2 linked regions of the Ovis aries genome follow. The protein of the gene in region 1 purifies or fractionates together with the protein of each later gene. This does not show direct contact. Links are inferred from orthologs where the notes say so. Each region holds a gene or a part of one and is shown on either strand. Other genes may lie near its edges. The genes, in order: core histone macro-H2A.1 and EZH2.

Region 1 (3,908 bases):
AGAGATCTGCTATCTGGAGGACCAGAAAAAATGGCAGCCTGAGATATACCACTCTCTGACCCTGGCCCACTGGGATAGACCAAGCCAGTGACTTATAGTTGTATGGAGTATAGAATGTCATGTGTGATGGTCTAGACAACTCAAAGTTTAATAAAACGTAAGCCATCCCATCCTCATTCTAAAGGCTCTGCCTCAAACAATTTTCACTTATTTAACCCCCTCCCTCCTTCTAAATACCTTTATCTAAGGATCAGTATTAACAATGGTAAGAGATCAAAACAGTAACAAAGTGGAAAGATTTCCTACTCTCCTCCTAAAAATACAGTAAATAAGATTTTAAAGTCTTGAGGATTTAGGAAAAGAGGAAGAAGGAAAAATAGGTTGAAAAATACATCTCTGTTCATTGGGGAGCCTCTTGTGCAAGACTGAGATGCCATTGCCCAGCTTTGGTTAGTAGTGTACATGTATTAATTCCAGGTGCAGCAAAGAAGGGTCCATTTCAGAGCTAATAACTCCTCTGAAAGCAGACCAGTAATCTAAAGGTGGCCCGGAGTAGGTGGATTCCATCTAATTCACAAATAGAGTCTCCCACTCATTTTAATTTAAAACTGTTCAAAATTTCCGGAGTCCTTGGAGCAGGAAATCTTGGAACAAAGCACTTTCCCCCTCTTTAATGATGAAACCTCAAACCACATAGGTAGAAGAAAGAGAGAAGCTAGCAGGAGCGCCCCTCTAATTGTCTATTCTTATACGCTGTTTATTCGATCATTAAAGTCTTACAAGGACTTCGTGGTAACTGTAATTGTTGAATTTAAGGCTTGTCTCAGCTCTGTGTCTCTTACTTCCACACTCGGGAAAGTATCTTTCCCTAACATCTTGTCTAAAACAACGTTTCAAGCAATCTACTGACAAGATCCTTCCTGAGTGATCTGTGGTCCCTGCCGTAGTGCAGATGGGACGCGCCATCCCGCACACCTGTTGTCAGGCGACATGACCAGCAGCATCCTGCGCACTCACCTCCTCTTTCCACCCCACCCCCCAGCGAAAGACTTCCCTCCTGGCCTTCTCCACTGGAAGAGCCTACAGCCTTCTGGAGTTACCTTGGGAAAAAAACAAACAAACAAACAAACAAAAAACAAACACCACCTCCCAACCACAAAGCAAACAAAAGGCTGTTCATAAAAATGAGAGGGCAGCGGGGGTTCCTGTGGCCCCTCCCCAGCCAGTCCCTGGACAAACCCCTCCCCACCCCGCCTTGGTTCCAGTCTTGCAACTACCCCCCAAACCCCCATCCCACTCTCCCAGCACACCACCCAGACGCCTACACCACCGCCACCTGGGGCTCGAGCCCCACTTATTGTGCCCTGGGCCGGCAACTCGCGAGCGGGCGGGCGCCTCACCAAGTACAACTCCGCGCACAACAGCTCCCGGGCGCCCAGGCCCAGGCCGACCGGCTCCCGCCGCGACGCCTCCCCCGGCCTCGAGTCCAGCCCGCCCGCTGCAGGACGGGTCACCGGGGCACGAGCCGGGGCTGTCTCCTGCTCACAAAAGCGCCCAGGCGCGGGCAGGAGGACGCGGTTCTAGGACAAGTTGGCTTCCGGGTTTGCTTTTTGAACAAAACCAAAGAGGATCCCGCGCGGCCCGGGCAGGGCCTGGGAGGACGCCGTGCGCGCGCGAGGCCCCGGCGTGGGCCGCGTTGAACCCAGCTGCCCGAGTCGGCCGTGCGCCGCCAGGTGCCCGCCAGGCCCGGCCGCTCCCATGCACCCTCGGCCGGAAGAGCGGGGCAGCCGGACCCGGGCGGCGGGGACGCGGCGCGGCGAGGGGGCCCAGGCGGCACTTACGGGGCGGCTCGGCGGCGGCAGCAGCAGCAAGGTGTCCGGCCTGTGCCCTCTCGGCCGCTCGCGCCTTTTCTCTCCGCGCTCCTCGCTGGCCCGCCCGCCCACCTCCTCGCTTCCCGCCTGCGCGACCCGCGCTCGCCCCCTCCGCCCGGCTCCGCTGCCGAGTGAACTGGAACCAGTCGCCGCGGCCCCGGGATTCCCACAATGCACAGCGCGCCGCTCGTCACATCCCATCCCGTCCGCGCGCGTCCGGCCACCCCTCCCGCGCCACCTGGGCGCCCCAGCCTTGACCCCAAGCCAGCAGCCGCGCGCGCGCGGGGGCCCTCCGTGCTGTACCTCCTGGACGTCGGTGGGTTAGTTTCCCGGCCGCACGGCGGCCCCAGCTCTGGTCCTCTGTCACCTGGCCTGGACGCCACACGCAGGGTCCCGCCCGAGCTGGGGACTCGCCCTGAGCTAAGTCCTGTGAAAGGTCGGGACCCTGGGTAGAGGCGCTTCTCCAGCGCGCGTCCCAGCCTGTGCGACTAGAGGAACGCTTATTGAGCGCCTACTGGGGCGGGCGAGGCGGGGGGGGGCTTTTCCTGCCGATCTCTAGAAGCCTTCTCATTAACGCAGGGACGGAGGCAAAATTAATGTTATAAGCAAGGATTTTTCCCTCCCCAACCAATGCAAACCTCCCTCGCACCTCAGAACCTCCCGCTGTCTTTGGACCCAAGCCCTTATCAAGCCTGGTCTTCCCCACGACCAACTGCTGCGCATCCGGCTCCCCTGGAGTTCTTCCCAGTGACCCCTAGAAGTCTGGATTGATTTGCTTTGTTGCATGGAAGCCGTTTACTTAGATTCAGCAAATGTTCACTCTTGGACCCAAGTTGAGATTTACTAAACAGTGATTCTCTTATCATCACACACATTTTTGTTTGCTTTTTAATTATTTTCCCTTTCCCTTTATTTTTAAAAATTAATTTAGTTTTGACTGAGACAAGCAGAAAGAGGGGCCCGCTGCAAAACCCAACTTGTATTTCTAAATTGGTTTTTGGCCTTAAGACCTTAGTGACCCATCCCAAGTTCTAACGTAAGAGCCCTCCGGCTCCTCCTCCTCTCCCCTCCATCTACCGAAGGGGGAGGGGGGAGGCATTAGACCCAGCTGAACCAAATTTAGATAACAATACAGACCCTGCAGAGTTGTTCTGAGACTGCTGAGTTGGTGGTGGAAGATTATGAGTCATTAATGACCACTCCCTTCCCTCAGGTTGCCCCAGTAGCAGTGGTGGTAACCTCCTCCCTTCACCACGATGCTTTACACTCTACTTCAAAAGTCTGCAAAGCAGTGTCCAATACATGCCATTCATTCATTAACTCAGTTAACTACTGTGGTCATACTTTGTGCCATGCACCAATTTGGGTGATGAAGATGAAGCAGTGAATAGAACAGGCAAAAATCCCTGAGCTCCAGAAGTTTGCAGTCTAGCTGGTAAAGAAAGATAATAGGCAAAAGAGGTGATGTATCAGATGGTGTAAATGCAATACAGAAAAATAAAGCTGTAACTGGCAAGAATCTTTTGTATTCTATTACAAGTTAATCACTAAAGGAGTGTTGCCTATAAGCTTAAATTATACAAAATGGCCCATTTCTTAACTCAAGGGAAATATCCTGACCAGGCCCACCTGTGAATGGCTTCTTGGAAGAAATTAACACATCCTCTTTCCAGGCTGACTAGAACCAGGAAATGTTTGACTTTACTCCCTTCCCTTTTAGTATAAAAGAAGCCTGAATTCTAACTCAGGCAAGATGGTTCTCTGGAGGCAAGAGTCCCCCATCTTCTTGGTTTTCTGGCTTTCTAAATAAGTCGCCATTCTTTCTCCCAACAACTCATCTCTCGATTTACTGGCCTGTCATGTAGCAAGCAATATGAGCTTGGGCTTGATGACAAAGCAAGGAAGAGGGATAGAGGTATAAGTTGGGATGGGGCTTCAAATTTTAGAAAAGGCCTCATGGATAAGGAGACATTTAAGGAATTGAGTGAAAGTGAAATTCACTCAGTCGTGTCTGACTCTGCGACCCCACAGACTATA
Region 2 (3,808 bases), on another chromosome or scaffold:
TCTTCATGATTAAGAGATTTGTGTTTTATTTTCTCTGAGCTATTTTTATCCTTTTGGCTTTGGTGGTCTTTTTGATATCCTGAAGCTCTTCATATAGTCAGGGAATTAGTTTTTTTGTGATGAGTTGCAGTGTTTTTTTTTTCCCATTTGTTTGGTAAAAATCCTGTAGCAAAGTTAAAAAACAAAACATTTAGAAATAGTTAAATGTATCATTTGGCTCTCCCTACTCCAAGATTTTAAAGGGTGTCTCACCTTTTTCCTTAGTACGTTTTAAACATTTTTTTTTAAACATTTCTCCCTTTGATCCATTTGGCGTTTGCTCTGTCAGGACTTTAGCTCCAGCTCACCCTCGCATCTCCAGGGCTGCTGTTTCCCCACCATTGTCCGCAGGCCCCTCTGGGGCTGCCCGGAGCTGCACTTGGTCCTGGTCAGCACAGAGGCTGGGCTCTGCTTCTGATCCCAGGGTCCTGTTCCTTGAGGCTGTCTGTCTGGGGGCTCCTGGCCATCTCAAGGTCTCCTGGCCATTTTCGTTTTTCTATGTAAATTTTAGAATCAGTTTGTCTAAATTAAAAAGAGTCTAGGTATGTTTATTGGAATCGCATTAAATTTATATTACCTAAGGTAAAACTCACATTTTAAAGAAAGGGTTCTATCTAACTGTCCGATAACTCTCCTTTTGTTCTTTAATTTCCTTTCAGATTCTCTTCCCGTAGCTCAAGTAAAATGACTGTTGCTGTAACTTTTTGTTGTCTAGTTGCCAAGTCGTGTCCAGCTCTTTTGCAACTCCATCTACTGTCACTTAGTCCTGACTTAGTGACACCTTCTCTCTCGAGACCAGAGTGTGTGTACATGAGGGTGTACAGACCCACATATGTCTTCTTCCATGAACTGCGGCAAAATATCAGTCTCTAAACCTACCATGTACTGGAGGAGGCATCCAGGCTCAAAGCCCGCATGTGCCTTTGGCTCATGATGACCTTGTGTCTGGCCTGAAGTAACTCCTTCCCCTTATGTGGCCTCTACCTTCCATGTGCTCAGCCTTTATGTTGACATTTTAGGGGCCCTCACCCGCGCCAGTCCAGGGTGAAATCAGTCATATGGTGTCAGTCTTGTTCTGGGACCTGGGACCGGAGCCTTGAATTTCCAGTTTAAAAGCATAACTTTGTTCGTCCTTTCTCTTCTCTCCTCATCAGCCTGTCATTTCCCGTTTAAGTTCTATGGCTAGAAGGATGGCTTTTTACATATATGTTTTGGAGTGATTTATTTCATGAATCCGTCGCTTGTTTTCATCCATATAACTTCTCATCGTGTGTGATTCTGGGTGGGGCGTTTCTGGTGTTTGCCTGTGTGCTCTGGAAGCCAGCACCCCAGGCTGTCCCGCCCAGCTGCTGTGCTTCCATCCTTGGTTAGGGCACCAGTGTGCTGGAGTGTGAGTCTCTCTGGTACGTTATTTGGGCGTCTTAAGTTTCAAACACTATATCTTGCCAAAGCCGTTTTATCTGACTACTATTTTTCCCTGCAGAAGTGCTGACTGCAGGCTCCCCCTGGGTTCTTGAATTGTGTGTGATTCGTAGAAACTGACTTGTAGAATTCCGAGGCTGTCCTCACTGTCTTTGAACCCAGGTTTTTAACAAGCGGTGTCCCAGTCTGTTCCCCCATTTGACAAGCTAGGGGCTGACTTCTTTAGAAATCAATAAGTTGTAGATGTCAGGATTCTTCTGGTGAAAAGAGGAAACTGATTTCTGTGTAGAGGATACATCAGTTGTTTCTATGGAGACATTAAAGACTCAAGTAAATGTTTATGATCAGAGCTCAGGTGTTCTGGGGGAGAGCTGAGGGGATACATGGTGAGTGTGCAGTGAGCCTGAAGGAAGCTCCAGAAGGTGAGCCACATGTTAGCAGGAGTGTGATGATGGGTCCTTGACTTTTTCCTTTGGAACAGGAGGAATGAGAAAGTAACTAGTTTACTTTATGTTTGGATGTTTTCTGTTTATTTTGCAGCTTTTCATGCAACACCCAACACTTACAAGCGGAAGAACACAGAGACGGCCCTCGACAATAAGCCTTGTGGCCCCCACTGTTACCAGCACTTGGTAAGCACATGCGGGGGGTTCTGGAGGGAGTGGAGAAGTCTGAATTTTGAATTTTCGTGAGATCTGTGAAGTCAGCGGTAAGCTGCTGTTCCCGTACTGTTACTGGCCACACGATAGGCAGAGGTTTTTCTCAGCCACGTTTCTTGGGAGCTCGTACCTGCTGCACACCCTAGTCCTTTGTTACCTTGCGCTATTCTCTACCAGCGTTAGTCTCTTCAGCAGTGGATGCAGGTCTTTAGGATCCGAGACTCTCGTGCCTTCCGCCAACCTTAGAGCTTGGGAAGCACAGAGAGCCCGCCCAAACCCCAGCAGCACAGAAGTGTCCGAGCCTTGCTCAGAGCCATCGCCCTTCTGTGCAGACCTGCTGTAGTTTAGCGCATTATATGTAGCTCCCAGAGATGAGGGGTGTGTGTGGTGTGTTTTTTTTTTTTTTTTTTTTTGTAATGATGGAGAGAAGGTAAGGGTGTAGGAAAATATGAGGTAGAAAAGTTGCTTTTTATGGGTACTATCTTATTTTTACCATTTCCCCTCTTTGAACCAAGCCACTCCTACCTAGGAACTAAGTGGGTATATATTGCCTGTTGGATTTTGGACAGAAGATTCATTGAATGGCACCTACAGAAGGTATCCTATTTTTAAGCAATTTGGTTTTTGTAGAATGAAGTATAAAACTGTTGGCTGCTCTCAAACTTCTCCCTTCTATTGCCACTAAAAATGGAATTCTTGAGCACTGTTGTATAATATTCTTTACAAGGCAGCATTTTATTTGGCTCACCTAAAGTGTGTCTGTGGTCTCTATAATCCGTGCTCTTACCGTTGTTGTATACTTTCCGAGATGGGGTTATTGCGCCTGGCAGCGCAGACTGTGACCCTCACTGCCTGTCCCTCAAGGGCCTTTCATGTCTTCCTGGGGCTGTGCATCCCTCACAGGGGAAAGGGGGCAGAAAAGGGACGGATGGAGCACGTGTATGTCTTGTATTCTTCTTGTATACTTCCAATGCTACCATAGATGAACGAGTGTTAGCTTACGAAGTCCCGAGACAGGAAAGGCTGACTTTAGATGCACACTGGGTGTATGGCTCCTCTTAAAGTTCACTTTTAAATAGACTGTGTTTCCTAAAATATATTCTGTATTTTAACTCCTAATCTCAGTTAATACAGAACTGTCTTGCCTGAGTTTGTAGAAGCCATATTTATCTTTCTCAAATCTTCAAACCATGGAAAGCAGATAGGAAGATGATTGTCTTTAGATGTGACTGCCTGTGAAAAGCAGATACTGATAAGTCTGACTAACATGCTTACCCAATCCTTTCCTTCCTCCTCTGCCAGAATGAGCTGTAGAACTTGACTTTGATGTCTCCGCTCTTGCTGTTGTAGGAGGGAGCGAAGGAGTTCGCTGCGGCCCTCACCGCCGAGCGGATCAAGACCCCCCCGAAGCGCCCCGGGGGCCGCCGGAGAGGCCGGCTTCCCAACAACAGCAGCAGGCCCAGCACCCCCACCATCAATGTGCTGGAGTCGAAGGACACGGACAGTGACCGGGAGGCGGGGGCTGAGACTGGCGGGGAGAGCAACGACAAGGATGAGGAGGAGAAGAAGGACGAGACCTCGAGCTCCTCGGGTGAGGCTGCGGCCAGGCCCCTGCTGCTTGTGGGGCTCTGGGCTGCTCTGGTCCGCGCTGTGCCAGGGGCTGGGTGCTCTGCTGAGCCGTTAGTTTC

Evidence for each region.
Region 2: the proteins of core histone macro-H2A.1 (region 1) and EZH2 purify together in Homo sapiens (affinity purification with mass spectrometry; 3 studies listed by BioGRID and IntAct, with this or other methods). This does not show direct contact. The link is inferred for Ovis aries from reciprocal best matches to the Homo sapiens genes MACROH2A1 and EZH2.

Annotation. Positions count from the first base shown.
Region 1 is NC_056058.1:44,506,284-44,510,191, forward strand, and holds the start of core histone macro-H2A.1, read right to left. Parts: upstream 2,388-3,908; 5' UTR 2,175-2,387; intron 2,010-2,174; exon of another isoform or gene 1,842-2,009; intron 1,585-1,841; exon of another isoform or gene 1,401-1,584; intron 1-1,400. UniProt on the Homo sapiens protein: Variant histone H2A which replaces conventional H2A in a subset of nucleosomes where it represses transcription. Nucleosomes wrap and compact DNA into chromatin, limiting DNA accessibility to the cellular machineries which require DNA as a template.
Region 2 is NC_056057.1:113,168,715-113,172,522, reverse strand, and holds part of EZH2 (histone-lysine N-methyltransferase EZH2), read left to right. Parts: intron 1-2,001; coding exon 2,002-2,093; intron 2,094-3,470; coding exon 3,471-3,711; intron 3,712-3,808. UniProt on the Homo sapiens protein: Polycomb group (PcG) protein. Catalytic subunit of the PRC2/EED-EZH2 complex, which methylates 'Lys-9' (H3K9me) and 'Lys-27' (H3K27me) of histone H3, leading to transcriptional repression of the affected target gene.